Struthio camelus: one gene and its partner. The protein of the gene in region 2 purifies or fractionates together with the protein of the main gene of each other region. This does not show direct contact. Links are inferred from orthologs where the notes say so. Each region holds a gene or a part of one and is shown on either strand. Other genes may lie near its edges. The genes, in order: FBXW11 and LPIN2.

Region 1 (15,731 bases), on a different chromosome or scaffold from region 2:
GGGAGCTTTCTGTGCCCCGAGCGCGGCTCCGCGCATTGCCCGGGCTCCGATGGCTCCTTGAAGGTAAGACGATGTCGAAGACAGTAGCTCCCGGCGGCAAAAGGAGACGCGTAGCGCTGCTGGGCGCGCGGGGACGGGGCAGCTGACGATGAATTGCGCCGGAAGCGGTGTCGGGGAGAGGAAAAACGTGGCTGCGCGGCGGCCAGGCTGCAGCTGCGGGCTGAATCGTTGCAAGCGGCGGCGCTGAGCGTCCCTGGCGTCGCCGGGCCGGCCGGCCGGCAGCAGCGGGCAGCCGTGGCCAGCCCCTGCCCCGCGCGTGGCCTGGGTCGCTGATCCTCGAAAGCAGGAGGAGGAGGGTGGAGGCGAAGGCGCGAGCTGGGGACGTTGACCCCGCAGGGGTCCCCTGCGCCCGGCGGCCGGCCCTGCAGCCGTCGTCCCCGTCCCAAGCCGGCGCGGCAGCCTGCAGGGGACCGAACGCGCCCCGGACGTATCGGGGCTCAGCCGAGCGACGGGCTGGAGCGACGCTGAGCTTTTTGCCGGAAAGCGTACGAGGTTTACTCGGTGCTTGACTTGAAAAGAGGCGTTTTGGAGTGGGGCGCGCGGGCCGGCCCCCCGCAGGCCAGCTTTTTCAGTTTATCGCACCGGCATGGCTTTCGTTCGCGAACGGGTCTGAACCGCTTCGCTCGCCGGCGCTTGCCAGGCACGACTGCGCCCTGGGCAGGTTCCCTGCGCTCCTCGGAGGAACGCAAAACATCCGCTTCTGTAAGCAGACGTAAAGGGGTGTAAGGAGCTCTCCAGAGGGGAACATCGCTCCGGCACGATTTAGCGCCGCGTCGCGAGGACGGCGGGGCGCCGGGAGCACTCTGCTCCGTCTCCGCGCTGCTCCAGCGCCAGCCGCGGCTCATGGGAGGACGCGCTGGTGGGAAGGACGGGTCCCCCGGCGCTGGCCCTACCTCCGCCCGTTTCCTGCGCTCGTGCGCGCTGTAAAACTAGCGGCTTACTAGCTTTAAAGGGAGCGAGGTGCAAGGTAGGCGAGCGGGCAGGCCGGCCACCGGCCAGCTGACAGCGGGCCCGCGGCGGCCCCGGGGCGAGCTCCTTCGCTGCGAGTACGCGAGCCTTTACAGCTGAGGCTACGTCGCTAGGTAATTCAAGTGAAGCGCAAATTATTCTCCTGCCCTTTTGCACTGTCCAGCGCCCACCTCCACGCCAGGATACGAGCTCCAGCGCAAGCCAAAGAGCTGCTATAAGCACGTAAAAGTACAGCCAAGCCTCGGAAAGAAGTGCCGATCCTTTCCTCGTCCTTCATCTGAGAAAAATCTGATTCTCTTGGTTTCCGGCCCTAACGGGAGGGGTGCTGGCCTTCCACTGCTTTGCCCTTGTTTTGCTCGGCGGGGGTTCGAAAAAGGCTGCGTTTAGCCCAGGTTGTGTCACCCGGGACGGACAGCGAGTCCGCTGGACTGGAGCTCGGGCTGCAGGGGTGCGAGAGGAGCGCCAGAGCAGTAATCCTTTGCAAAGCCTGCAGGGCTTTAACAAGTGGGGGAAAAAAAACCACCCTGAAAATAGATTCAGATTAAGGCCCACAAAGGGGCTGGGGCTTTTTCTTTCACTGACAAAACCAATAGGTGGTTTAATCCAACGCTGCCCTGGTGCTACGAATAAAGACCTTGCGTGGGAATCGCTTTTGTTCTCGCGTTCCCGTTAGCCGGGAAGCTCTGAGCTGCTCAGAGCCTCGCGCTGCTCCGCTTCGGTGGGAGGCTGGCCCGAAGGACGCGGCGGCGCGATGCAAGTCCCGTCCTGTCTTTAGCGCCTTCTCCCGATCGGTTATTGGTGGTCTTACTAGTGGCAGGCCACCAGAAATGGCACTTCTCAGGGTATGGGATGGAGAGCAAAGGCTTTCAGACGCAGGAGCTGCTGCCTTGCACTTAGGTTTCAACCTTTATCGAGGATAAACAGGAGACGCGTCTTAAGACGCAGAGGCAAAAATTTCTTGCCAGTTCAACCAATGTTTCAACAGTCTACTCAAAATACAGCCCTGTCGCACGCAGACCCTCTGCCAGCCGCCCGCCTTCCCGGCGGCCCCCTCTTCTTTCTCGCTGATTGGCAATTGCAAACGCGGTCATCTTACGGCGACTTAGTTTTGCTAGACCTTCGCCCTATACGATCTGATTCTTCAGGGTAACGGCCGCCCAACTGCACAAAGCTAAACCAAAGCTAAAAGCAAGAAGTTAGAGGTCACTCAGGCGACGTGAGCCAGCTTTGCGACGAGCCAGCTAGGACGACTCAGACAATGGTCATTTGGCCACTGGACACGACGCTGTTACAGTAAAAACCAAGGTAAAACAAGCCGAAGCCAAGCCACGTCCTTAGGCCTTGGGTCAGCTAATGGCAACGGCATCGTTACCGTGCCCCGGGGCTACGTTATAACCTCTCCTGCTATCGATACCATCAGGCTGGTTTTGAGCGAAGAAGGTTTAGTTCTGTTTTCAAACGGTGACGCGAGAGCAAAAGGGAGGCCGGCAGACCGGGCGAGGGGAGGGCGAACCTACCTGGGGGCAGGCCGCACCTGAAACGTCGGTGAGACCTCGCGTGCCGGCGCCCAGCACCCGCCGTCTGGGCGCTCAAACCTGTGATGTTTTCTCTCCTGTTCGTGGTTTTCGTTCTCTCCATCCAGAACAAGACGAAAATACGTTTTAACTTCTTAAGTAGCCGAAACACGCCAAGGGACCCGACGCGCGGGGAGCCGGGGCGCCCCGCGTCCCTGCCGCCCTGGCGGAGAGCGGCCCGAGCCCCCGCGCGCCGGGCCCTCCTCCTTCGCCCAAAGGGTTTCGGGGCTTCGCGCCGATTTGTTTTTTCCCTCGTTGCTCACGAATAGTCCTCTGTGCCCCGTCCCCGGGCCGGATGCATCCCTGCCTCTGCGCTATGAACTGCCCCTTGGAGGAAGGCAGCTGCTTTGCGCGTCGAGAGGCGCGGCGGCTCTCCCCGCAGCCTCTGCTCTGCGGCACGTGTAAGAAGAGTCAGAAATCCGTTCATGGTTTTCCCGCTTCTTTAAGAAATCATCAAACCTGGTGCCATCGCTGTTTGGATACCAAGTGTTTCTTTGAAGTAGGAATAAACGTTTTCATATTTCAGGCGTACTTTCGTCCCTGCCCTAACAAGAGCGCTTGTTTCTAACCTGCTCTTTCCAGCTGTACGTTAAGTAATTATTTTTCCAACAGGAGCATTTGAAATGCATCTGCCCTTGCTCTCCTGCACTGTGACTTGTTCCTGGCCATTGAGTGATCTCTGATCCCTATCCGAGCGGCCAAATAAACAGTCACAAGATCACGAGACCGAGGTTTTAGTGAGTAGAATATGTTAGGCTGGGGGTTTCAAGCAGGCAATCCCAAGTTTAGGAAAGCTACACCCACCGAATTTCATGTGAGCATTTAGCGCCGAGCGGCTCCATAGAAAATCCCAGAGTTAGTATTTTTGCCACCATGTTTCTTACTTTTTTTTCATCTCCTCCCTGGTGTGAGGCAAACCTGCCTGCAGCCTTGCTGCGTCCTTCCAGTGGCTGCAGCGTGACCGGGGGCAGCTCGGCACCGGCAGGTCCCTCCTTCCTTCCCTTCGGGTCCCGGGAAACCTGTCTGGGAGGCACCTGTGTTAGACCTTCTGCCTTTTATCATGGCGCTGTGCGTGTTTATAATCAAGTGGGAGCCGTGAAAGACGGGCAAAGCGGAAAGGATGATTACCCTGCGACGGGGCTACTGGTGGCCAAAGAACGAGACCTTGCAGAAAACTGAGACAGGCTTGGAAGTAAATCACATTAGAGAAGATTTGGAGACTGAACAACTGGGTCACGTTCTAGCTATGTTTCTCTACTCTAGCTCCTAAAATTTGTTTCCCCTCTCCCAGAGAGCTCTGCTTCTCAGCACGCAAGCGCTAGCCGGCCTCTTGCTCCAGCGCTCAGGCGCTCGGCAGGGCCTCTGGGCCATCGTGGGGCTCCTGGCACAAGAGGGCATGTTAAAACCAGGGCGCCCGCCCGTGTGATGTCGGCCCGCGGCAGCGCGACCCGGTCTGGCGGTGCGCGAGGAGAGGCCGGGGCCGACCGGTGAGAAAACACCTCGCGCGAGCGCGGCCGGCCGGGGCTCGGCGGCGAGGCAGCCGCGGGTAGAGCGAATCAGTATGTAACGGAGTGAACGTCTGAGCTGCTGTAAAAAAATCATGGGCTTAAAAGAGGTCGCAGCGTGTTGTTTCAGCCCAGCTGAAACGCTGCAACGTGGGGCCGGGCCGGGGCCAGGCAGCCTGTCCCCCGCCTCGACGGGACGCGCGGTGGCTCAGGCGCCCAGGGCTTTCGGGGCAGCGCTGCTCCCTGCAATTCGCAGCTGCTCAGGTACACCCGTCTGCGGCTCCCAGGCAGAAAGGCCTTGGCACTTGGCGTGCTCGCTAAGGTTTCCTGGGTTTTTAACGCATGGTGACCTTTGCTTAGATATCTTTAGGATTACACCTACCTTAATTAACACATATAAGATGTATATGCTTATTTCTTTGCTTTGTCTTAGCACTCTGGGGAGAGGGAATGAGCCTGCAGCACAGTCCCCCGAGAAGTCTAGACACCTCTCCCTTGAGTTAATGACGTCCCTAATGAGGGAGGAAACCTTTCTTCCTCCTCCAAATCACCTTCCTTCAACCTTAGCTGATACCGGAGTTAAACAGGATCTTCCAAATGTAAAAGCACGCTCTGCTGACTCTCAGTCCTGTCCAAAACGTCTTGTCCTGTTGCACGACGTGAAGGTACCTTTGGTTGCCTCGCTCTGGGGCTGGGGCTTTCCCACTTCCACTTCCCCATCCTCGCTGAAAAACTGGCAGAACTGGTTCTCTTAGGCTGAAACTAACCCACCACCGTGTTGTGCTTCCACCTGAATAAGGTCATCATTAAAGTTTAATGACTAGCTTTGCTGCTGGTTTGCTGATCTGCAGATCCGTGACACAGATCTGTCAGCAAATAGCGAGTTACACATATACTGAGGATGTATTGATAGGGTGTCATGTGAACCAGAATTTAGAGCACACATGCATGCAGGCATGTTCCTCAGATTATTGTAGTGACAGAATTAATATATTATTAGAAACAAAGCACTTTGACTTTATCATAAGCAAGTGTTTCAATAGAATCTTTTTGTATCTCAGACTAAATTTATCAAAAATCTGGTTCTTCATCCATCTTATTACACAGTCCCTTGGACAAGTTTTTCAGTCTGGACCGGCTCCTGTTAATAATCACAAGTTGCTCAGAAACAATCTGGCTTTAGTTTGCAGAACACTGTATCATCTGGTCTTGCTTTTCTAGCTGTTTAATGCTTCCCTTAATTATTTTTCAACATTCTTCACAGTTTTCTTGTATATTATAGCAATTGTTTTTTTTCTGTCAGTATGACTAAAAAAATGTAGTTCTTTACTCAAGTTCCAACTGACATCTTATGCCACAGTTTCAAAGAACTGTCCATATTTCTGTAGTGTTTGCTGTGGTAATGCACTAACCACACTCACATGCAGATTGTCAGTATTAGACTAAAGCTTACTTTTGCTTCAAATAAACGGAGCAATTTTTGCCTCTTCTGTTTGTTTCTTTTCATATGACTTGGACAATACTGTAATTGTTCACGTTCAGGAAACTAGCCTGAATGTACAGCTGAACTTTGGAAAATGGCTATGTAAAATGGCATCGTCTTGCTCAGCAAATCTGTGCCCTGTGTATATTTAGGACTAGACATGCTGATTTTTTACTTTGGTGGCACAAACAAATATCTGTTGGCTTGTTTGCTCCCCAGAGTGAACAAATTAAGAGAGAGAGAGAGAGAGAGAGAGAGAGAGAGAGAGAGAGAGCGAGCGCGCGAGTGAGTGCGAGAGACCACGCACGCAAAAAGCAAGCTGGATTTTGTTCCACCATGTGCGTTGGAAGCAGATTCTCAGTGACACCTTTATAAACTTGCAGAGGTCAATGGAGTTATATAACACGCAACACTGCGAGTATAATTTGACCTGCAAGTCCTTAGTTATAGGTAGTGATGTAAAAGTGGAAAGAATTCAGCTCAGCTGTCAGTCTGAGCTTCCAGGTTTGATGGAGAAAGCCCTCATACCTTTTTCACGTGGAAAAGGAGCATGTCTGGATAAGGGTTAGCGGGTGCTTACGCTGCTTAAGCTGACATGAGCGATGGTGCACGAGCTGGGGCTTTGCAGTATCAATTGGAGGGACTTTTGGGCCAGTGTCCAGTGACGGCTGCAAGTTTGGCATTCACTTGGTCTAGAACGTAAATGTCGCAGCTTCTAGGGCATATCAAATTTTCACTTTCCTCCCCAAGATATTGAGCAGTGGCAGTTGTTTAGGGCGAGGGAGATCTACTGGTCTTGAATTACATTTTTCAATTCTGTGAAAGGAGTGACGACCTCATTAGTATGCTTCTAACATTTTTATGAATAAAATACATTTCTGTTGACACCAATGTACTGTCAAGCAGGATGCATTTCAGTAGGGAAGGACCTTGTGCCATTTCAATGTTCATGCTCCATCTCTTAATTAAATTTTGAAGTGGTTAAGCAGGCACCTCGGCTGGGGTGGAGGGAAAAGCTTGGGATGAAAGCTGCTGAGTCTATTTTCATCCCAGGTGTATAGTACTAGTGCTATGCTGTTATACCAGATTGCTGCTTATGACATTTTTGCCTCTAGTTTTCAATGCCTACAAATGCATTCGGTCGCTGATGCGTCATCAGTTTGCAGCCTGTGTGACCTTGGCAACCCAAAGCACCTGAGATCTCATTGTCGCTGTTCCCGTCCCGAGCCTCACCGCCACTCTGGCTGCCCCCCTGCAGCCCAGGCTGCATCTGCCAGCCCACCTCGCTGTGCCAGCGTCCACAGAGGATGTCTGCAAGCAGACAGCCTGCGAACAGGAGACAGACCCTAGAGGTTTGGCTGCTGAAAAAGCAGCTCGTTGCTAAGAGCGCAGGCTGCAATTAGTTAGACGGAAATGCACGTGCGACCACCTTATCCAAGCGTTTCCATGTTTCCTTACAAATACGGGGCATGTGTGCTTCTTCTCTTCAAACTTGTGCATTCAGCCCTTTCTGCCTACATCTAACCTAGACTGCGAGTTTTCTAATGGCAAGAGGGCTGTCTGTTTGTTTTTCCAACGCAGTGCAGGCTGTCCATCAGCATTCAGTAAATAATACCATTTAAGTATATCCATGACTGCTTTGATCTTCATACTGCACAGAGATAGCCACTGAGAAGCTGAAGTGGCAATAAAAACAGCACTAGGTCCTCCACTCGTAAAAGCTCTGACGCTATTGCCTGACTGAGAGTCGCCAGCAGTGCAAGCCCTGAGGTGCACGACGAGACGGACTTACTAAATAGCGTTGCAAGATTGACACGTGACTCTCTATAGCATCACACCTTCTCAGTTAAGCAGATTTTGTCTTCAGGAGCTGATGTTTTTCAAGGCTTCTAGTTTCATTTCCTAACGCTACTGGAAAAAATGCACACAGTTTCCTGTCTCAGAGGTTCTGTAAAACATCCCACAGATAACGTTCTGCAAATTTGTTGTTTTTATGGGGGAAAACGTAAAAACAATACTTGAGCACCAACAGCATTTTAAGCAAAGGAAGGCTCCTTCCCCAACCTTAGGTTCAAACACAAGTACCCTGAAACTCGCTACAGGCTTGATTTAGAGCACGCTGACGACTCTTGCTGTGGCAAGCAACGCCTCCTTACCTGTTACACCCGGGAAAGAGAGGTGGTCTCTTATATAACTATTTCTCACGGTACTGCTACATGCTCGAACCGCTTCTGATTTTTTTCCAGCTGTCAGCGCGGACTAAGCGGCTATTACCCAGCGCTAGCAGGGAGGGGAAACCCTCAAGTCACGTAAGGGCTTGTAACAGTTACCCAACGAGACGGCCGCCTTTGCGGAAACGTTACTACTAATAGTTATCCAGACGCGAACGCGACGCCGGGGCACTGCGCAACGCTGTGCCAGGCCTGGGCCTGGCGCTCCTCGGCCGCCCGAGCGCGCAGCCGCGGGCCGGGCCAGGCTCAGGGCTGAGGCGCGCTGCGGGCCGGGCCGGGCCGTCGCCGAGGTCCCCCCGGACGAGGCCCCCGGCGCCGCTCGCCGGCGGCAGCCCCACCGCGGCCTGCGGGCCCGGCCCGGCGGCCGCCGCCGGCGGAGAGGGGCAGTTCCCGGCGTGCCCTGCAGCCGCGGCGGCGCCGCGGGGGCCGCTGGGAGTTGTAGTTCTCCCGGCGCGGCCGTGATAAGGGGGGGCTGCGGCGGGCAGCGCCTTTCCACTTCCGGGCGCCGTGACGCTACGGGCGCCGTAGCGGTGCGTGCGTGCGTGCGTGCGTCGGGTAGGGGGAGGGCCGGACGGCGCGAGCGGCAGCGGCGGCGGCGGCCCGCGGCGGGGCCTGGCGGGGCGCGGGGGGGGGAGGGAGGCGGCGCCTCGGCGGAGCTGCCCGCCGCTATGGAGCCCGACTCGGTGATCGAGGACAAGACCATCGAGCTGATGGTGAGTGCCCCCCCGGCCCCGCGCCGCGCCGCCCCCGCCCCGCCGCAGGCCCGGCCCGGCCCGGCCCGGCGGCGCCCCGCGGGCTCCGCCGCCGGGCCCGGGTCCCCCCTCCCCCTCCCCCCCGCGCCGCGGAGGTGACACGGCGCGGCCGCGCCGCCCCAGCCCTGCCCGCCCCGCCGGCGGCGGCCCCGGCCGCTGCAGCCCGCTGCCCCAGGGCACTTCCACGGAGAGAGGCGGAAAAAAAGAGAAAAGAATAAAAAAAACCAAAATTAAAAATAAAACGGAGGCCGGTGCCGGGGGGAGACGCGGCCGCGCTCCCCACGCTGGAGCGGAAGCGCCGCGGCGGCGCCGGTGCGCCCGCTGCCGCTGCCCGGGCTGCGCGGCCCTGCGGCGCCCGGCCCGGCCCGGCCCGTCCTGCCGGCGAGGGTGCAGGGCGCGGGCGGCTGCCGCGGCCCTGCTGCTGCTGCTTCCCCCCCCCCCCCCCCGCCTTTATTTTTTAAAATAAAACTTCCAGCCGGAAGGTTTTAGGCTCTTCAGCAGGCGTTCTTGCTTAGGCGGCTGTTTGGGGGACAGCGGAGTGAGCCTGCGCTGGGCGAACGTATGTTTTCCAGCAGCAGCTCCGGTAGCGGAGCTTTCACGAAAGGCTCAATGCAGCAAACGCAGTATTATCTAACTAAACCTAATTGGTGTGTTTGTTATAGCCTGTAATTAGCGTTTATGCCGCTAAATTCAGGTTAGTGGAGAGGTGGCCAACTGGAAGCGGAAGAATGAGGAAGCTTTTTTTTTTTTTTTTTAAACGTAGGGAGAATTTATATTTCTAGCCAAATATTAAAGGAGAGTGTAGTTAGCTGTCTTCAAGGAAGAAGAGAATTAAGTTTGGAAACTAGTAAGGATAATCACAAAAACATCTTCTGCTGGTTTATTTGTCATAAGCATAATTTACTATTACATACGCAATTCCATGCAGTACTGCAGAACTGGACGGTAAAATTCTCGTATTGCTTTTAAGGCACTCCGAAGGTGTGCTGAGTTCAGGCAAGACGTGAGATGGGCTTTTCAGTCAGTATAGTTTTTGCTGAACTACCTTATCTGAAAAACTTGAACTTTCTTGGAAGGTTATGTTCTATCAAGAAGCAAAAATAGTAATAATAAAAAAGATTTAAAAAAAAAAAAAAAGATAGTCCTTTCATGTTTGTTTCCGATCACTGAGAGTTCTAGGTTAAAAGCTGCTCTTAATGAACCTGCTTTCTTGATCCCTATTGATTTAATGATCTTGCACTAAATGTTGGTGACATCAGAACTGTTCACATATTAGCGGACTGCAGCATTAAGAATAATGACTGGTGATATCTGTGAAGGTGTCTGTTACAGAACAAGTCATTTACAGAAAAGATGTCTGTAACATTTTTAATTGTGTAAAGTGAGTTCTAGTGGCTTTTTTCCTTCCTGTAATGGAGGGTTACTAATGCTCTTCGGCCGTGGGTTATAGGAGGTGCTAAAATAGAATTTGAAGGCTGGAGGGTACGTTTGCCTCCTACAACTTTCTTGCTTGTCTTTTTGTAACCACTCTCCGATTTTAGAAGTCCGTTCTATTTCTGACCATATTGCTAACAAACAGAAGCAAATATAACTTTTGACTACTGATAACTGTACCCTCTGTTTACAGCTAATCCTGGAGAATGTGTTAACATAAAGACAAATACTGGAGTTACTAAGATGGTGTGTGTTCTATAGAAGGAGGTTTAAGAAACATTTTTACCTCTCTCATGATAAATTCATAAATATAAAATTTTCATAGGATGAATAATGAATTTTGTAATTTTCCCGTAGGAAATGATACTCAGTAAAAATGTAGCTAGTAGTTGAATTTAATTTTCTTCTTAGTGAAGGCTTGCATAGAAACGCTTGAGTTTATTTTAAATGTTCCACTGAACTTCATAAATGAAGACGTGACCCGAGAAGGTTTTGCACTCTTACGTGTTGTAGAAGATGAGATTTTCTGGAAGATTTGTTTAAATAAACAAAGCAGAAAGCGAAGTAGTATCGATAGAGTGATTTCAATATCGTATACAAACTGTGATATCAGTTGTTAATGATAGTGACAAATCTCCCTAAACCAGGGATGAGCTTAACAGGCAAGACTTGAGTGCTGTTGTGTTTAAGAATCCTTTTGCAAGAAAGAAGGTACAAGTGTTTGTTTACTAAAAGCAGGATGTTTTTATGCCTCTTTGATACAGGAGATTGTATTTTATGCACTTTTGGTACTCGATCACTTCCTCCCAATGCCAAGGATGAATATCTAGCATATACAGGTGCAAATGAATGATGCAAAAGTTCTGAGGAGCAAATAGAATACAATTCTCAGTTACTGATAAACAAGAGATAATGTGTCAACATGTTAATTACACAAGAGTTTCAGAACGTGATCTTCTGGCTGTGAGCTGTTCCTTAACTGGATAGATCACTTGCATTTATTTAAAGAAGAATCAGTGATGGAAATAAAACTGTTCTATTTTTAGCTGGAATCTGAGTGAAATATTTTAAGGTTTCAAAGTGGCAACTTTCATTTGCCGTATGAAGTTTCAGCTTGTGCTCTGAAGTCGCTGTGTCTTTTAGGACAGCTTAAGATTTTGGATATCTTCTGGTTTTGTAAGTCATGTCATCTAGCCTTTTTAATGTTGTCAGGGTTTTAATCTTTGGTGATGAGCAATTGATCTAGTTATGACACTTCATGGCTTTCATTTGCTGATGATTTCTATCTCTATAGGCAAGATACCCTTTGCCTGTAAAAGTGATTTCAGGAAGTGCGAGGCCTAGAAGTTTAACGTGCATGTTGACTGCAGGAGGTATATGTTTACACTAACAGTTTCTCCGACAGGATTGTCATTAGTTTAGATATCTTAGTACTTACATAGTTTTGGTTAAATGCTTTGTATGAGTGGACAAATTATTAGAAAGCTAGTAGTAATGAAGTAATCCAGAACAGATGGAGGACCAGCTGAAATGATTGAAAAGGCTGTTTCTTTCCCTGATTTGGATTTTCTTTGTGAAATTGGGTAACTGCAACCTTTTTACTCTTTTAAAGAATCAAACTTTTTTTTTTTTTAAGGTGAAGCACCAACAAAAATGATTTGCGAAAAATGTTTTGTTTTGTTTTTTACCTACAAATTCTGGATTGTGGAGTAAATCTATAATATTCAGTTGCATCCAACCCATTATTCATATTTGTCTTGAATGCTTGGTAAAAACCTTGTGTTTTTCACTATTAGAAAGATTCACTGAACCGTACATTTGTTTTACCAGCAGGCTTTTAAAGTAGGGGACTATTAGCATCTTAGTTTGTGCTAATGTGGTTGTGAATGAATACGTAAGTAAGGAAAATGTAGTTCTTACAAACAGGATAAAAAGGTACGTGTTTATGGGATGAACTGTGCAGCATGAGATACGGATAGTATAAAAACAAGTCTTTTGCTCTCAGACTCTTGTGCCCACCAGACACCTATTAACGGACATGGTTACTGAAGCAGGAAGCCAAGTGTGTGTTAATATTCTCATTTACTGAGCTTATTATCATCTGTCTTTCTGCTGTGTCCTTGATGTGCATGCTGTTCTACAAACATAGATCCCTGTGCTGCAGAGCTGGCAGTTTGAATTGAATATAATACTGCTCAGTGGTAGTAGCATGAAAGGGTTATGGGAAGACCATGCCTCGGAATAAAACTGACAAGCGCTTGTTGATGTGGTATTGTAACTTATATTTTAAAGTTTTTTTACACACACACACACACACATGGAAAACATTCTTCCTAACATATTACATTTACTCTCTAGAACACCTGTCCCTTGTGAAAGTGTCAAGTGTTGCAGTGCCCCTTTGTAAACAATAAACAAAGAACTGTAACTGAGTATCTTACCAGAATTCTTTGCTTCTCTTGGTAGAACTTTGGTGTGAGCTGAGGGTCTTCAGATTCAAAAGGTAACAATCTCAGAATAAAGTGTTCCACATATAAATGCCTTACGAGCAGCAACTTCTTCAGTAAATCGTGCCAGTAGTACCTGAAGTTCCTTGGGTTACTGCAAGTGAAGATTGTTTTGTCCCCAAACTATTTAAAGCGTTATAGTGCAAAATAAGTCTTAGTGTTCTGCTTAGAAACTAAGACTATAACTGCTGTATATATCTCAGTAGCGCTAAAACATTTTGACTTTTTTCTTCTCTGTCTCAGTCGTTGCTAACCAAGCAGGCAGCTACTTTTTTTCCCCAAATGTTCTTAGAGTAATCCTTCAAAGAGTTTACTTTTCTAGTTATAGAGATACAGATGGACTTAAACAATGATCATATTGGCATCTGAAACAAGGGAGGTACTATTCTAGCTTAAATATGACTGTGTTTTGTCAATAGTTCTTAGAGCCCGAGAGTAGATGGAAAACTAGCAAGATGTTTGGAAACCTGTATGTTAGCTAGTTGTGCTTTCTCGCAGCAGGATAGCAAACTATTGGTTTTGCAGTTATCTTTTCTAACCTTCAGCTGCTAAAGTGGCAGAGCTGAGAGCTGCATGTCAGATGTGTAAATGTGCAGCCATTAGGATGCTGGATAGTTTCATGCAAAAGGGAAAAAGGCGAAATGACTAGAGTGGGTCTGTAAAGAGGTGAGGGTTAGATTGTCCGTTTGGAAGGTACGGGAGAGCCTGTGGGGCACGGGATGCAAGATCTGCGCAGCGACAGGGACTGTCAGGTTGACAGTCACGTTTCAAAGAGCGCCTGTAAGAGGAAGGATGAGGATATAAAGAGAATGGATTGCCATGACTTTGGCAGCGGTGCAGAAAACGGGAAGGAAGACCTTAAGAAAACGAATTCAACTAGACAACTCGGTTCTGAGCCAGCAGAATGATGATAAAATGAGGGAAGTGGACAAAGAATTGCGGAAAGCTGTCTTTTGGGGAAGGGTTAGATGAAATAATAGAAAGAGCATGAGTGAGAAAATGGGACTGAGAAGGGACATGGAGAATACAAAGATGTAGAACAGAGGTTACAAATTAAAAATGATCTCAAATGCTGACTTGTGATTATTATGGCAGCAGCCTTCAGTTTATACAGATGAAAGAAAACTGCAGACGTTCCATTTGGAGGGAAAATTCTGAAACCAAATTGCTTTTAGTTGCTTAATGTAGGAAACTTATGGTTTCTCCGGGAGATGAAAGATTGGTGTTTCACCCAAGGCTTTTTAAATCTTGTTTGAGATACTGAGATTTTTTTTGCCTCACAGTTCAGTTAAGTTTTCTCAAATTATTATTTTTTCCAGCCTTTGCAACGATGCTGAGCAAGTAAGATACAGCAAAGTCATCTTGTTCCCGGAAAGATACACATTAACTTCCTGAGTTTGTGAGCACTGCTGGATAGTTTTCAGGGCAATATGTTGCCTGTGAACTCTGGTTTGGGACTGTAAGGTCCTGAATTAAGTTTGTAAATCGAGTGTACAGGTGTCAGTGTGGAATGAAATCACATCTCTGCAGGCACACTGGTATGCACACCAGCTGACCTCTCTAAAATGCTACTGGGTTGCTCCTTTAAAAAGTTGTAAAATATGCATTTTACATATGCATATGCCATTTCTGCATTTCAGACCATGCTGATTGTTTATCCCTTAAGCAGAGCTGTTGAATGTTGCTGAAAATTTGGGTCACTGATAAGCATTGCACCAGCACCTTATCAGAGTAAACTAACCTGACTTATAATAAGCTGTACCCTTAGAGAGACCGGGGAATGTTATTTGAAGGATGGATGTACCTTTTCATTTCACGTGTGTTTTCTAAAACACCTTCACTGCTTGTCAAATCAACTTGATGTATGTCTTTTGATGCGTTACATTTTATTGCTGTAGAGTGTAGAGGTCATTGTTGCTTTGGCATTTTCAGTTTCATCTTAGATCTTGCTCTGCTGCTTTGAGTGCTTGTGCAGTAGTGCAAGCTTTATGGGTTCGAAATGAAATGGATGTTGCAGCAAATGTGCCAACGAGAAGAATGATGTGTGGGAGAGAATAAGAGACGATGGTTATAAGAGTGCTGCTCTGTGGCAAGTCTTATATTTATTTTATAAAGGAGAAAATAAATTGAAGAGAAATGGCAATATTTATGGAATGATTTAAACTAATGCTGATTAATAACACACTTACATTCCAGCTTTTTTCTTCGGTGATGTTTTCTTAAGCTCAATGCCACTGTTGTTATATAATCTGATTTTTTTTCAGTTCGATTTTCGTGGTATTGATAGCACTTCATTGTTCAAGGAAAATCCCCTTTTTCTGGAAAATCCCTTCCTTCCTTAGTTCAAAGGTATATTTCGGTCTCAACGGTGTGACGTTTGACAGTCTACTCCATTTTCCTGTACTACTTTCCACACGCTTCCCAGTACGAGTAGTGCGTGACGAAGATCAGATATTGCAAAAGTAACCCAGTGCCTTTTGTGTTTTACTAACAAAGAACACTGACTCTTTTTGGAAACTTAATTTGCTTCTAATGCAAGGCTAAATTAACAATGGGAGCGTTTGAAGGCTTATTGTTTCTTCCCTGCTCTGTTACTCTAGGGCCCCTCAGGAAGTTGCATCCCTGTTCTTCTACCTACCCTGAGATACTGAAGTTTTCACTGGGGCTCAAAGAGTAGTCCAGCTTCCCGGGTGCATTTTGTGCAAATAGAGATGTAAATCGTAAGACACAGGTAGGCACCTGTTGCTAGGAATAGAGACCAATGCGCTTTCTGTGTAAAATGGTAACAGCTGTGGGGGTCAATTTTTAGCTGTGGCATAGTTTTAAAATTTTGTTGATTCAGTGATTTAGAGAAGAAAGACAATTATATATTCAGTCTTACAAACTATGTGGCTGTTTTGAGTTTAGCTTTGTTGAAGAATTCTTGCATATTGAATTCTGGTGCAAAATAAGTTGCGACAACTTCTATTTGTCTCTTCTTGAGGCGCACGTTTGATGTCAAGATGGCTCGCCTGATGACGCTTTGTTCAAAGCTTTTAGCCTTTTAAGTCCTGCTGATTTAAAGTCTTCAAACAAAAACATTTACAGCTTCAGAAATCTTCAGAATCTATCCGGTGCAAAAATTACTAACTTACAATTACACCTTGTATTTGATAGAGATACTTTTAAGAAATTCTATCTGGGCAGCAAACGACTAATCAGGGAAACTTGATATTC
Region 2 (15,755 bases):
CAACTGCTCTTTCCTTATCAGTCTGCTAACTGGATATGCAGGGAGTGCAGAAGATGTGGCCAGGGGTGGGGGGGGAAGGAATGCACTGGTATTCAAAGTTTTGTTTCAGTCCACTTTCTGAGCTTACCACTTTTTCCTTAGAGCGCAAGACCCCAAGCTTCCCAAATCGGACGTGAAAAGGAGAACACTGGTACGTGCCATCCTGCTGTCGGACCACAATGACATCAATGCATCCTGAAAGAGTAGCCTGATTGATGCCTTTGTACAGCTCCTTCACAGTAACCAGGACTTGACCTGCAAGTTGTCCCACGTAGTTCATAGTCTGAGACTATGAGAGAGGAAGAAAAAAAAAATACTATTTTTTAAAATCAAAGTAAACATACATCATCATTTAATATGTCTGCTTATTGTAACAGCCTTAACACAAACATCTTCAGAAGTGGACAGCATTTTGAGCCAATTCTCATATTATTAACAGTCTTCAGAGCTATAAAATATGTTCTTAATCATATGCTCAAGTAAATCATAACAAGCTATCATTATTTCAATATTTTAAAGTAAATCTTAAAGTATGTATTGTTTAAATCCCATAGGCCTAGATTCAAGTAATGCTTAATTCCTCATGTAAGCTAAAAAGACCAATTCACTTTATGAACACTGCCTATTATTTAGTACAACTGATCTTCTGCTGAAATTAGAGGTCTGATGTACCTGTACATCAGAATGAAAAAAATCTAAGCATCAGGAAACGTTTCTGTAGAATTCCTCTATATGTAACTCTTCCTTTACAGATCTGTATTTTAAAAACTGCTGCACCATCATAAATAAATTATCAAAAGATTTAATGGGAGACAGAAGCTGCCAGAAGACTGGGCAGAATGAGTGAGTGTGGGGGGAAAAAAAACAGATGGAATAAATCTTTTTTTCTTCCCTTATGCAAGTAGAGTACACCACCACTGAATGTATTTCATCAACAAACAAGTACTAAAAACTTCTTGCAACATAAAATCATGAACTTGTCAAAGCCTTCTTGTAAAGAACTACCACCCATCTTCAGCAGTTAAAACTAAGACGAATAAGACTTCTACCTGTGGTAGAAGATGCCAGATAATCAAAGTTACTGAGACTCTTCCATTAGCTTTAGATTAAAGTAAAATTACAATAAAATTACAATTGTAACTATACAATTATCATGTATAGTTACAATGTATACAGCTTCAAGAAGCTTATATGTGTATTTAAAGCAGCTGTTGAAGTACAGTTTGCTCAGAGAAAATATAGCACATCTAGCAGTATCAGGACCTTGTCCTGAACACTCTTCTCATCTATGAGAAGCAAACATTGACCTAGTAGCTAGCAACCACCACTATTTCTACAGAAATTATATACAAAAAATAAGCACTAAGTTTTAAATACTACATTTTCATATACGAAAAGCAAGTCCTAGTCAAGTTTACTCACTCATGCGATACATTATTTTAAATATAAAGAGTTATCTTATCCACTAACTACTTTCCACAGGTTTCACAAAGTTTCAGTCAAGTGAGAACAAATTTTTACAATATCTGCTGCTGTTCATACTCTCTGACAGCAGGAAAATTGACAAGAACAACAGGTAGTCTAGATGAAGAAGTCCATATTAGACAAGAGTGGAGAGTATAGTAGAGAATTCAAGAGAAGGAAGATACACAGAAAGATTATGCTATAGTCAAACACTAGACAGAAAAGAGAAATGCAAAGATGAAGAACACATACAACCACTTATCAAATATTCTGTCTAAGCCATTACAATACTTAAGTGGCATTTTGAATAATTTAGTCATTTCAGACTAAGAACAGTGTGAATCGTGACAGCCAAGAAGAAATGAAGCCCAAAGATTTCTCTTCTTTCTATTAAAGCTCAGATGTTTTGAGAAAAAACAACGAAGGTGTTCTAATGGGAAGTACCCAGGGAGGCTGGAAGTGCAGCTCTTCCTCATTCTACCCTTCTGCCAAAAGACTGCTACAACTTCATTTCAAATATATTCAAGCACCTACATGACTCTGAAGTTAAGGGCATTATTCGGAAGAACAATGAGCCACTGCAGACAAGCAAAACACATAGCACCAAACATATAAATAGGCTTAAATTGTAAAAATTTAATTTTAGTATAATATTTCTACAAATAAGCTTACAGTGAATTTCTTTGTCTATATACTCATTTATTTCTATTAGACTCTGAACAGGGTTTCAAATTCAATTCAAGACCGTGATTAGGATTTTTCTTAGTGGTTCTAAAGACTACTGCGTATTGCACTGCAAGAGTTCTTCCTCCTGATACAGTTTTCATCATCTAGGTAATTACACAATTTTTTCAGTTCTGAGCTTTCAAAGTCTTCTTGCAGTAGCACAGGGTGTATTGCAGTCATTCAGAAGTTTGGCTTTTTGTAGCAGCTGATGGTGCCAATATAATTGTAAATATGCAGGAGATTGAGCCAGCTCTAGAAGTATTTTTCTCCACCTCAGGCTTCTCAAGGCTAACATACGTTACCTAATCACATACATATTTTGAAAAAAGTTCCTACCTTTCTACAAGGTTTTAAAGGGAAGGTGAGGGCTTGCCTATCCAGATTTAAACCTCTTTTGAAATTATGCACAGAACTACTAGGCTAGTTAACATGCTAGAGAGTTTTTCTCCAGCAGTTTTTCTACAGTATAGTTGATGAAGGCAAAAAGAATAGGCTATCGGAGAGTGACTAATGAGATTAGCTGCATGGACTCCCTAACAACATAGATTAGCAAGTAATAAAATTCAGTTTCATCTCTAAGCAGTTTTATGTACAACTACAAAACTGACTGCTTGCTAGCAGAGATGTTTTGAGTTGAAATAATAGCTCACTCTTGCCAAAAAGGGAAGGCCCCACTTCATCCCTTCCTCATCACACCCTTTTAATGAGCTGATTTTAGCTCACTGACACAGCTGACAGAAGATTACCCATGTTTTTCTTTCAGTAGGTTAGTAAATTAGATCAGCTCACAGACAAGGTGGTGTCAAACACCAGACAGTTGTGAGGCATGCTGCAGCACCAGAGAGCTGGAAGAAAAGGCTGCAGCAAGGAACAGAATATCTTCCTTTTGATAAGTGAGCTATTATTTGCTGCATCATATGGAACTGTAACCCGAGACAGAAAAGCAGCAATATCTCTGTTTTACTGTTTAAACAATTATTTCTCCTCTACGCCCACAGCCAAACCATATTTTAAGTTAAGGGGAAAATTCTGATGCACAGTCTATTGTGATTCATGGCTACACTTTGACCACTTCCAGTGAGACTCTTATTGTATTGGTTTACCCAAATAAGTTGATTTCAAGATGCCAAGGAGACTGAAATTGCTACAAGAAATGTTTGGCACAATTAGGAACAGGAGTTCTTAATAGAGACTCTATTCTATATATTTCATTTCAGTGAACAGGACTTGAAAAGTGGACATTAGCAAGACATTTTCTATCATTTCAGTAGCAAGTATTTAAAGGATTGGAACAACATAACAGCAGCTAAGAACTGAGTTCAGTTGATAAAAACTCTACATTTCCTCAAAGATGTGGTAACTGACCTTGCCTGACCACAGCAAACCACCCCAAAAAATTCACAGGACCGAAAACATTCAGTTGGTATATATATACACATACTCCTTTTCCAGTAAGGAAAGTCATTTCTTTAAAAGATCTCAGTTACATTTGTTTAACCTACAGCAAAACCACTTTTATGATCATACATAAATAATACAACCTCTCTGTATGAAAAATATGAACCTGTTAAGTATTAAAAATGAGAGTTATAAAGAAAGGAGCTTTTTTATAACCTAAGTTTTACAAGAAAGTATTGTCTTGTACACTGTCAGTAAATAAAATTCTAAATTGGACACTAATTTATACTATTGCCTATCAGGTTGTAGTTTTACTTTTTGTTGTATTATTAATTTATAGAGAAGGATTTAGATATTATCACCAGAATCACAAAGATTTCCCACTTTTCCGTAGTGAAGGCACTACCAGAAAAAAGGTGTGGGGACAAAAGGACCAAATACATGCTGAATACATCAGAAGTGGTGGTACTTTAGTAGCGTTGGGATGGAAGTGATCCAAAAGTCACCTAGATAGATCCTTTGTGCAAAATAATGCTTACAAAGCATCTTCCAGAAATAAGCAGCTCTCTAGCCCTACAGAAAAACAACATTCTAGCCACAGAGCAGTTATAATTGAAAATCACTACGTGCAAAGGCAGAGCCACGGAGGAAAAAAAAAAAAAAAGCTACATCAGAACTTAAAAGGTTTTATCCACCTTTATTGATACACATGTTCCCATTCAAAAACAATAAAAACTGCAAGACGATGACTATAATAAAAGTTCAACTCTTAACATAATTGTTGAGTTTGTGTGATAAAACATTCGCTACTTAGAAAGGTCCAAATTGTTGCAAGCAAATGTTCAATTACAAGTAAAACATCAATACATAACTTGAGAAAGATGAAATGTTACATTTAGCTGAAATGTCAAGAGAAGCCCTGCTAGGAGACTTTGGAGTTTTGCTTTAAGTTTTATTGCATATTGTTGGAAAGCTTGAAGCGCGTGGTGCAGAAATTGACTAAAAATAGCAACAATATAACATATCATTGGTTTAATTCTTGCAAAGGTGATAGAAATAACTCAGATCGCAGATTAAGAGGCAAGGCAAAGAATTTCCTAGAAAATTCTCCCTTAGTTATTTCAGGATTTAAAAAAAAATTGTTAAAAATGTCATTGTTCTGAAAGCAGAGAGAAGCTGATAGCAATTTACCTTCATAACCTGCTACAAGAACCTAAAAAGCATGCCAATTTCCAGTTCTGCAATTCAAGATAGAAGTCTGATGGAAAAGACAAGTTAAGCCAATGCTATTTAGCTTTTAAATTTTATTTATTTTGATATCCAGAGTATACACATTACCTGATGCAGTCAAATTCCAGAACTCTGGGTAAAAGCTAAAATTGAGTTAGCTCAGTACTATTTATTCTTGTTGGATAGCAAATCAAAAAACCAAGCAATAGCTAAGAACTCCAAGCAGAAAAAAACAGTTTTTGTGACTTTGGGGGCATCAGAGATTGATTTTTGAATGTTTAAGCTATATTTCCTGGTTTACAAGATGAATATACTAATATGACTAAGATAAGTGCAACTGTAAGTGGGAAGGAGGAAAAGACATCTCTGAAAGACGCTAACCTATATCACGAAGAAAAATTTTTTTCTAGCAAGAAGCCATTACGCAGCAAAAGATAGAAACTGAAACTTTTGTTTTCTTGAGAATATAAAAGTAAATACAAACTACGGAAAGAAAATATTTACTCTGGAAGTTCAAAAGCAAAAAATAAAATTGTGTGTCTCCATCTATAAAATACTCAAATCAGTCTAACTAAAATTAACTCTGCATATGTTTGTTGACTTCTCATGCTGTAAGATGAGTTTCTGACTAGCTCTCAGAAACAACGATTAAACACTACTACAGCTCAGATTGAGCATCTAACGTATTCTATACAATAGATACCAAATTAAATTTTCAAAACCAGTCACCAGGAAATGCTCATGCTTGTATAACTTGAGATGAAGGTTTTGTGGAGAGGGATTTTCTCCACACAATATTAAGCAAAGACAGTTACTTTTGGCTACTACAAAACCAATGTGTTTTCTTGAATAATTTATTTTACATCCTTTGGGAATACCCACGTGCAGGCACACAACAGTCAAAAGACCGTCCACAAACTTGCATTTTCTGTGCATTTGGAACACTGCTTTAACAAAGGTAAACAGTTTTCTTTTTTTCATTCTGAAAGCCAACATGCTTGATACAGGTGTACCATTCTAACTTAATCGGTCTCCAATAACTGACTGTAGTGCCTCGTACTGATCACTACAAATGCCTGGCTCAACAACATTAAAAAAAGAGTAGTGCATATTACTCATAGGCAAGCCATCAGATGTTTTTACTGTACAAAGAAACACTTTTAGTGGGTATGAATTTCCACTGTCTCTGTGAAAAAGTTACTTAAACATAGAACTTAACGTACAATAGAGTATCAATATATCCAATTTATTTTGGGTTGCATTTAGAGGATTAAAAGGTAGTCTAATACCACATGATGTAAATAGTGAAGTTGCATTTGTTTTAAGAGATCAGGTAGAAAGGCAAAACAAAAATCAAACCTTGATTTTCCTCTATTTATCTTTTCTTGCCTATATTTCTATGTGTATGTATTTATGAGGAACGAGCTTTGCTTAACCAGAGAAAAGTTTATATTAAGCATTTTACTAATCTTTGTTTTGTTGCCTAAAATTACCGGAGGAAAAAAAATGAACATATAAAACAGGACCACTGTAGCACCAAGACTACTTGTAAAAACAAACATACGCAACAGCCCCCCCGCCCCACAAGACAAAGACAGCTTCGCTCTTAAGTAAAGATTTTAACTGTGGTTTAGGATTGCTCCTAGCACTGCACACAGCACTTACAGAACAAAAACGGGAAACCAAGCAAGTCTGCTAAATACTGAATTCAAGTTTTTCCATGTAGTATTAAGTACAGTCAGCAGATTGTTAAACATTTTAATTATGTTATAGGGAATGATATACCCATACTTAACAATAAATACATCAAACTCACCAAGATTCCAGAAGGAACCTTTTCATGGGCAGCAAAAACACCTCCACTGAAGTCATCTTCAAAATCATACATCTCCGAGAAATGCATCTCAAACCCCAGCAAACTAACTTTCCATAGTACAGGTAAATGCAAAGCTTACAGCCATAACATAATGTTGTATCAGCATTTCTTCTCTTTTCATAGAAGCAGAAGAGTTAGGTAAATCTTCTGGTCTGTAGTCTCTTAGAGAGAAATGTTTGGTATGCTTTCTCACATAGGGTTATGATTAAAAAGGAAGTGCTTCTTTAAGAAAACTCACATAGAAACTCCTTCACCAATAGACTTTGCTTGAAATGTCACAGCCCCCTTGCACTCTCCAAGATAAGTAATAACATGGACAGACTTTACCATATGTCTGCACTGATAGGTAATGATCTTGGATATACACTAAGTCACATGACTCTGGGTGAAGCTTACCCCGGATTTAGTTAATGATTCTTAAGCCATGTCTACATTAGCTCACTGGGAGACTTTTCACACCACTGTTACAACTTCATCACCTGTAGCAACATTGGAAGTTCTTGTTCAGCAGCACACAGAATTAAAGAACGCCAGCTGCCACTCTGTGCTCCCTACTGCCTCTGCTGATGGTTTCACTAAGTTAGCTTTGCAAATTTCATGGGACAAATCTGACTGTTTGGGACTGTTCAAGGTTTGGTATTTGTGAAAATTGGGGCTTTTTTTTTTTTTAAACTGTTCCAACGCTATTTTAAAAGGAGAAAGTGATAACTATTCTGGTGCGAAGTTCATACTGAAAACACACAAAAATAAGGTACATCAAAATAATCATTTTTTTCCGTGGAAGTTTTCCTACTTAACTCAAATTGTTAATGTAGTATAATTTGGGTGTGCAGACAATGCACACAGGTTTATTGTATACCCAGCTCCATGACTGAGAATAAAAATTCATTTTTAATCTGAGGAATTTTAAAAGAGCATTACTTTTCTAAATAATACCATGGCTGTGAAATAATTGAGGAAGCACAGTATTATAAAGAAATAGTTCTACCACTGAAATCTAGGAACGGGAGACATATCCACTGAGAATCATTCGCTGAGGAAATACTGTATTTCCTCAACGCAGACGCATTCTTTCACAGTTCTTCCATTAAACACATGCATCTTCCCCACTAACACCTGTGCTATTTCGGATCTGCTATAGAAGACTGTGGAGGTCTACTTCTTGAATTAGAAATGAAAATAGCCTGTCTAGGATTCTGCTGACCCCTTCACTCTAACCTTCTCTAAGAAGTTTTGTTAACAGATACTTTAAACTCTGCTGCAGGGACAATGAATCACTTATTGGATGCAACTAAATGGCTTCTAGATTTCTAAAATAATACAAGGACTATACCCAAGACCAAAACTAAATCAATTTTGGTGACAGACTCCTAAACAGAGTGTTGGGTTTGCTACATATGCAGTAAGATTACAATAAACTGCTGCTGCTACTGGGAGCTTTCCTTACGTATTGAACAACTTTACATTTAATGTGGCTCTTTGCAGGAAAAGTTACTGGTTTCATTAGCAAAGATGTGATGTACGCTCATAAGATATTAAGAATAACTATAACACTCAATTTTCCTCTGCTTGTTCACCATTCTTGACTATATCACGTGTTCCATTAAAATACGGGAAGAAGGGAAGTTTATGAGCAGAGTGAAAACCAGCTTTGTAAGATACTGATTCTTTTCAAACACTTTGACTTACCTTTTATTTTTCATGTACAATTTTCTGTCATACCTACTATATTTTAAAATTATTCAGTATTTCAGATTGGCATTAATTTCTTCAAAGTTTCTAAAAATGCTTTCAAAGACAGTCTTTCCGGAATACAAGTAAAACTGCAATAACAGCATTAATTTCTCAGCACCAGCAGTAAGATAAGATTTAGACAGGTAATAAGTTTTGCACACTTAATAAACCTCCTTGGCTTTTATTTCTCAATATTAATAAGCTAAATAAAAACAAACTTAATCGGGGGGGGGATTACATTTTAAGTGCTACACTATTAATTTACAAGTTAAACAGGAAAATTAGCTTCAGTTTTCAAAAGTAAATACTGCAAATTTAGAAAGTATTAGAAGTAACATTTTCCACGCAACCTTAGTTCAGCTTTTTGGTACAGGCAGAATTTACTGTGGTTTAGCCCCAGATGAAAGGGGACACTGCTGACAGAGATCAGTTAACATCCTATGTTCTCTTGACTGCTCTCTGTGGGGATACACACCTTATCTCATTGCACGTTAGTCAAAAACCCTGATACAAAGTATGATTTCATTTTTAAATGGTATTTTTCTATGGTAACCTTCAAAATATACTGGAGTGCATTCATTTCTTTTTACAGCATCCCAGAGAAACGTGGCACTATTTTTTTTTTCCTACCCAGTGGAGAACTCTGGCCAAGAATTAAAAATACCTATTTTATTTTAGCACAGTTAAAACATGACCTTCCACAGCTTCCTTGCATTCTATACCTTGTTATATATTCAAAATATTGCTTCCATAGGCTTCCTTTTAGCTGCAAATCAGATTTACATACCGCAGTTGACCATTACCTCCAAAGATATATAAAATTGCCTGTGAAAATTTCATTTAAGTGATTTGATTGTACTGTATAGGAACTGCAGAAGAACTGTGGCCAGAACACGGCTACAGGATGTCTTTCCCCAGCTTTCATCTCTGTACCTCCTTCTAAGTAGGAAGCAGGAACCCTACAGATATCAGCTTCTATCCGTACACAATCGCAATTCACTCACAGATTGGGGTAAATTTGCTATGAATGAGATAAATCTATCTTTCTATAATTAATAAATCAAAATACATAAACAAGCATAGGACATCCTCCATCCCACTTTTCACTAAACTATTGTCCAAATGAATGCTTTAACAAAGTGGTGGTTTTTTTCCCCCCTTCTTTGAAGCCTAGGAATTTTCTCAAGAGAGAGGATGATTACTTCGATACTACCTACATCTTCAAGAGGCCTTGAATCTTTGGATGTACCACAACGACCCCTATCATCTGAGTTAAAACGGACAACTGGCATAGGCTGTTATTCTCCACACCAGCCAGAGACATTCAGCAAATACCTGATTTCTGCTAGCAAAAGGAGCAAGTGAGAATCTCAGGATCCCAAGATTCATTACAGACAGGGGAGCGAGTACACATACTATCTGTTCCATTGTACTCATTCATCAAGCTTGAGGATATTGTGTCTACTCTTTACCCTTGGCTCCCTCTCTCATTCTACCCCTCAACGTCAGGCTTCCTTGCTCAGAAGATCCTAGTTACTTTGACAGGCTCTATATCCCATTTGTCTTCTTCACTCCATCCTACTCCAAAACCTTTTCCTTTCCGTATCAACTAACTCTAAAGCACCCCAGTTCAGTCCCATACCTCATACCGTCACTGGAAAAGGACTTTTCTCCCCAAACCCCAACTTTGAACCCTATATCCATCACACTTCTTTGTTTTCAGTCATAGTCTGATTTTCAAAATATATAAAGAAGAATCAGGCACTTTACAACTTTGTTTAGAGACAGACAGGACTAGTGCATGAAAGCAAATAAATTCTTGCATCCAAGTTCTTGATGTTAGCCCTGACCTGAAGCATCTGCCTACTGAAACTGGAAATAAATCTCTGGTCTGTCCATCTGGGGATAAAACACATTCAATGCAACATCTTTGTTGCAGTTAACTGCAAAGGTCTATCCATACCCATCATGGGCTTTTACGCCTGTTTCAAAGGCTAATCGCTTTGCTGAATTCAAATAAATTTACACATGAATAACAGAAGACATCCTGAATAAAGACCATCTGTCTCAGATCTCTATGGAGGGGGATACCAGGACTTTTCTAAGAGAAAATAGCTAGAGTTTTTCGTCTAGTATAGAGGACACATACCATCGAGTTTCACCTCTTATAAAAAAAAAAAAGTATATATTTGCTAAAATTCTCCTTATAAAGCCTGAAGATGTCCAATATATAATTATATGGGATGAATTTTTCCATTAGCAAAGTTACATGCAACTAAAAATCAAGTTCTACTCAAAAATGCTGAACAAAATGAATAGGCAGTGTTACCTGCTTCCATCATCATTCCCAGCTTTTAAAAAAACAGATACAAAAATAAAGAAAAAACCCTATCGCAAGTAATTATAACTGCTTGGATTCTTATACCATGCTAACAGATATTAGAGAAACACTACTGATACAAAAGCAATGCACTGCCCTCTAAAGTAGCTGATTAAAATAGAAAAAAAATCAAATTTCTAGTTTTCCATCTGCAAAGCTAGATGGTAAATTCAATCTCTGCAGGATCTTCCATCCAATAAAATCAAGAAGCATTCAGCTAAGAGTATTTTTCAATTCAATGGAAATATTTTTAGATCAGTAAGAAAAAACGCAACAGCAAGAAAAGAAATGCACAGTTTACATGGGCTTTTTGCTTTTGTAATGTTTCACCAGATACATCTGTATGATCTGCTCTGAATCCTCCGATTTCAGTATTAGCACACCTTTGCTTGTTTTAACATGAGACTTTTCTTCAGTCCTTTTAAGTTACTTTTTTGTTTATTAAAAAACTGCAGTGAGAAGAAACAATACTTTGGTAAGGGTCAAAACAATGATTTTATTGATAAAAATGATCAGTTCAACCACGTACACACACACAAAAAAAAAACCCTGAAGTTACATGCACACATAAAGATTTTATGTGCTTGTAATCCTTAACATCCTCCAAGTTACTGAGAAGAACTGGCTACATTAAGACTGCACTCCTTCAGAACCTACATGGGCATATCCCACAGAAGTCTTCTGGCATAGCTTGACAGATAGTTATTTCCAGTAGAACAGACTCTTCTACAGCTACATCATCCTTGGTTGAACTTTCTTCCAGAAATATATAGCAGAAACCAAAGTTTCCAAATATAAACTCCATCTGTCTCATTTTTACATGAGCTGGAAGAAGCAGATGAAGCTTTACTTGTATGTTTCTAAAAAGCACTAAGCAAGTTTCTTGCCATGCACTTCAGGTCTATCTATATTTTCTTCCAATCTCCCAGCATTTGAAAAAAAATAAAAAGGGAAAAGAACACATCTATGCATATTTAAGCATGGAAAACATCCTGAATACTTAGCAGTGAATAATGTGATTACCTTCAGCACGGACATATGAATACAATAATGATATGAGACTAGGACATATCTTCAGGTTGACAAGACACTCTCCAGGAATATACTTATTCTGAGAAACACATATAAGGCATACCCAAGAAGCTCTAAATCCCTAATTTTAATATAGTGCATATAAATAAGAAACCTTTTTTATTTGATAGACTCTCATTATTATTTGAATTGCTGCATATGTACCAAATAGAAAAAAAAATTCACAAATTTAATCTGCGTATAAGACTGCTATTTTATTAGAAAATGAGGCAAAAATGCTAGGCTTTCAGAATTCCTACACAAACGTGTTGATAGCATTGAGATACTGGAATGGGGTAAATTAGATACAGCTGAGCAAAGCAGCATATGCTTCCTCATTCACAAGGGGAAAGCTATTTGTATTACTGATCAAGTTTTAATGAACATAAAGGTCATGTCTCTCTGAAAGATATGTCTCCTCACCCTTAGCATATGGTAACATGTCTGTATCATCCATAACAGGTCACTACAAATCTGTAAAGCCGATTCCTTATGTCTGCTAACATGCATATTTTTTACAGAGAGAATGAAAGGCATTAAGGCACCACTCAGATATTTTTTTAAAATCACTATGCTTCAGTTAGTATATCAAACTAAATTCTATCATTAGTTAAGTGAGAGAGTATGTATTCCATTTATAATGGAATCTCAGTTATGACTTCATTATTTGAAGCATTTCTTTGCAAGAACCTTGGTAAGTGACTCTTTGCATATTTCCTTCAAAAGGCCTTTGATAACGGTCAACCCAGGACAAGTACATTTCCTGTGAAGACAGTTATGCAGTCTAAAAAGACTGGTAAGTCTAAAGACACAGCCTACAATTGGCTTAGCACGTGCTGACTTGGGACCCAGCAACAGGACAAGAGGCAATGGGCAGAAACTGAACCACAGGAAGTTCCACCTAAACCTGAGAAAAAATTTCTTCACTGGGAGGGTGACAGAGCATTGGAACAGGTTGCCCAGAGAGGCAGTGGAGTCTCCTTCACTGGGGATATTCAAAACCCGTCTGGATGTGATCCGGGGAAATATGCTCTAGAGGACGCTGCTTGAGCAGGGGGATTGGACTAGATGATCTCCAGAGGTCCCTTCCAACCTAAACCATTCTGTGATTCTGTGATTCTTCGACTTCAGCCACCCAGACTAACATGATGCACTGGAGACTTTTCTATTATTACTTACAATATTTTAAATCTCTGGTCTTGAACTTAAGAATGTTGAATAAAGAAAGGGATTAATTTCTTAGTTAAAATTCTTATCCCTGCACTAAGTACAGATGGCAGCAATAAGGAGGTCTCCGTTAGTTTTGGAAAAAGCACTAAATGACTCAAGACAACTTCTGGTAGTTACTGCAGGTAACATTACTGCAAAGCTGAAAAACTGATAACAATAAAATACTTTACCAGGAAGGAGAAGCTTACTTCAAAATTCCCTTGAGGTACAAACACAAGAAAATATTAAATTTCTGTGCTTCCCTTTAAGATTTTTTTAAAAGAAATATTCATCAACCTCCATCCTCCCGCCCCAAGAAGGGTACTTGAGCTCAGTCCCCAAAGACTGAGCTATTCTGACTTGACATGACCCTTTCAGATCAAAACAGTCTGGATACATAAGCAGAAATGTAAGCACTGATGTTACTAAGTATAAGAATGTCTGTAACAACCCAGATGAGAGGATAGCAAGGCAAAATAAAAACTCATTTTTAAATGAAACAATCTTTGCAATGGCAGATACATTTTTACTATGCTGGAATGGCATAATTCTAGTTACAATTTCTTAATTCTCTGATACCTGCTTAACTGAGATATTTACAGAGGTGATCTTTGTATTGTTGTAAAATCTTAAAATACAACTTTAATGAGATCAAAGTTGCATAGAGTAAGTACTCCTGACTAGCGCTGCTAGATGTAAGAATCATTGGGATATAGTATGTTACATGCAGCACTTTTGAGTATGAATATATTCTGAGAATGAATATATTCTGAGAATTTGCCCAATACTGGATGAACACATCTAACACATATGGTTTAGACTAGCATCTGATCATAAACATATCACCCACTATTTTGTATAAATTCAACAGCTTTTCAATGTAGACGCCCTTTAATATGGGGTACTGAATCCAACACCAGAAGCTGTTCTTTTATGCCCTTCAGACTGTTATGCATAATGTATTTGCAATTCATGATATAAACAATGATTAAAAATTATTTTTATATAAGCCAAAGCTATTTTGCCAAAAAAATAAAAAAAAATATATAAATGTTCTAATTTAGCACAGATATTCTATGATCACACACAGAGACCTTCAAGAGCTGTCTCTCCATTTTCCCCACGTTTTGATTCTGCGCTTAAAACTTAAAAGATGGAAAAAGAAGAAAATTCCGATCTGGAGTATTAACCATGAGAAAATCTTTCAGGAAAAGAGGAAGATATTCAGCTAACTTAACCTCTCGCTTTGACAAAGGTTTCCCACGAAGCTTTGAACAAAATACTTATTTCTGCTGCCAGTAACTTTACCTGCTCTAATTAGATTGCAAGTTCTCTGGGACAGAGACAAGAGTCAAAAATCACGTAATGCAAAGAAGGTCCACTGCCTGGTGTTTCTAGCCCTTAAGATAAATAAGGGGATGTCAAGCGCAACAAGTGCAGTTTATACTTTGCCATACTTGATCAAGACTTCACAGGAATAAAAAAAAAAAATGCTGGAAGTAGAGAGTGAGGACAAGAAGTTCTCTACACTGTGATACCAGAATGTTTCAAATGTACTTTTTTCTAGTTCATGAAAACAAAGAACTTAACTTTGCAACAATCTGAAACATTAAGTGCTATGAATAAGAAAGACCTAAGTTCATACACCACCTGTATTGGGAGCCACTGAAAAATAAAAGTATTTTGATATGTTTAACCAAAGAGCTATGCTATAAGCTTAACAATTCATGCTGCAATTGCTTACTACAGCCTTTCAGCACTGTTCAGTGAAGAACAGCAGATAATGCAGCATTTCTCTCAAACTCCCTGACATTCTGAGTGACCATGCTCATCTAGAAACAGCAGTTCTAATATTCTACTGTACAACAACAGTACATTACAACAGCAATACGTTTTTAAAGAGCATCTCACAGATCATCCCTTTACTCCACCTAAAGGGTTGTTCTTTGCTTTTTTTTTTTTTTGGTAGGAAGTGGGGAAATTGTTTACATCCATTTATATTCTTCATAGTGCAAATAGAAACTGTGATTACATATGTATATATACAGAGTAACATCAGAATGAACCTCGGCTCTAGTGATTGCCATGCCCACGCTTTCCGTAATACAAAGTGAAAGCATATGGGGGCTTCTGATTTTTCATTTTGACTAATGAGCACCTGTACATTCTTAAAATGCGTATAAAAACACATTTTATCTCTTCCAGGCTATTTTGCAAACATTAAAAACACAATATTCAAAACTGACCTGAGAAATACTATTATAAAGTTTTTAAAAATTACTGAGTTTTGTAGGATTGTCTATTATCTTCTTCCCCTCAGAAAGGATCCTAAAATAGTACTCATTATGGGACATGGTTAATAAATGCACTCTCATAACAGCAATGAATTTTTGTTTGCAGAAGTCAGGCAGTGCGTAGATCACGTTTTGTACAACTAGCCCAACTGCATCTGTGAGGAAACATGAAATGCAGGCAAAGGAGAGGTAAATTCATTACGTCATTTTGTTGGATGAAAACGCACATGTTTAAACAGCATACTGCCTAGCTGTTACTGATGCCTCCAACATGTATTCAGTAACCACTTAACGAGGGGAAAAATGCAGTTCACACAAAATAACCTAGACGGGC

What was found.
Region 1: the proteins of LPIN2 (region 2) and FBXW11 purify together in Homo sapiens (affinity purification with mass spectrometry; 4 studies listed by BioGRID and IntAct, with this or other methods). This does not show direct contact. The link is inferred for Struthio camelus from reciprocal best matches to the Homo sapiens genes LPIN2 and FBXW11.

Annotation. Positions count from the first base shown.
Region 1 is NC_090954.1:20,655,798-20,671,528, reverse strand, and holds the start of FBXW11 (F-box/WD repeat-containing protein 11), read left to right. Parts: upstream 1-8,456; 5' UTR 8,457-8,490; coding exon 8,491-8,535; intron 8,536-15,115; exon of another isoform or gene 15,116-15,246; intron 15,247-15,731.
Region 2 is NC_090943.1:118,917,507-118,933,261, reverse strand, and holds the start of LPIN2 (phosphatidate phosphatase LPIN2), read right to left. Parts: upstream 7,099-15,755; 5' UTR 6,761-7,098; coding exon 6,674-6,760; intron 329-6,673; coding exon 128-328; intron 1-127. UniProt on the Homo sapiens protein: Acts as a magnesium-dependent phosphatidate phosphatase enzyme which catalyzes the conversion of phosphatidic acid to diacylglycerol during triglyceride, phosphatidylcholine and phosphatidylethanolamine biosynthesis in the endoplasmic reticulum membrane.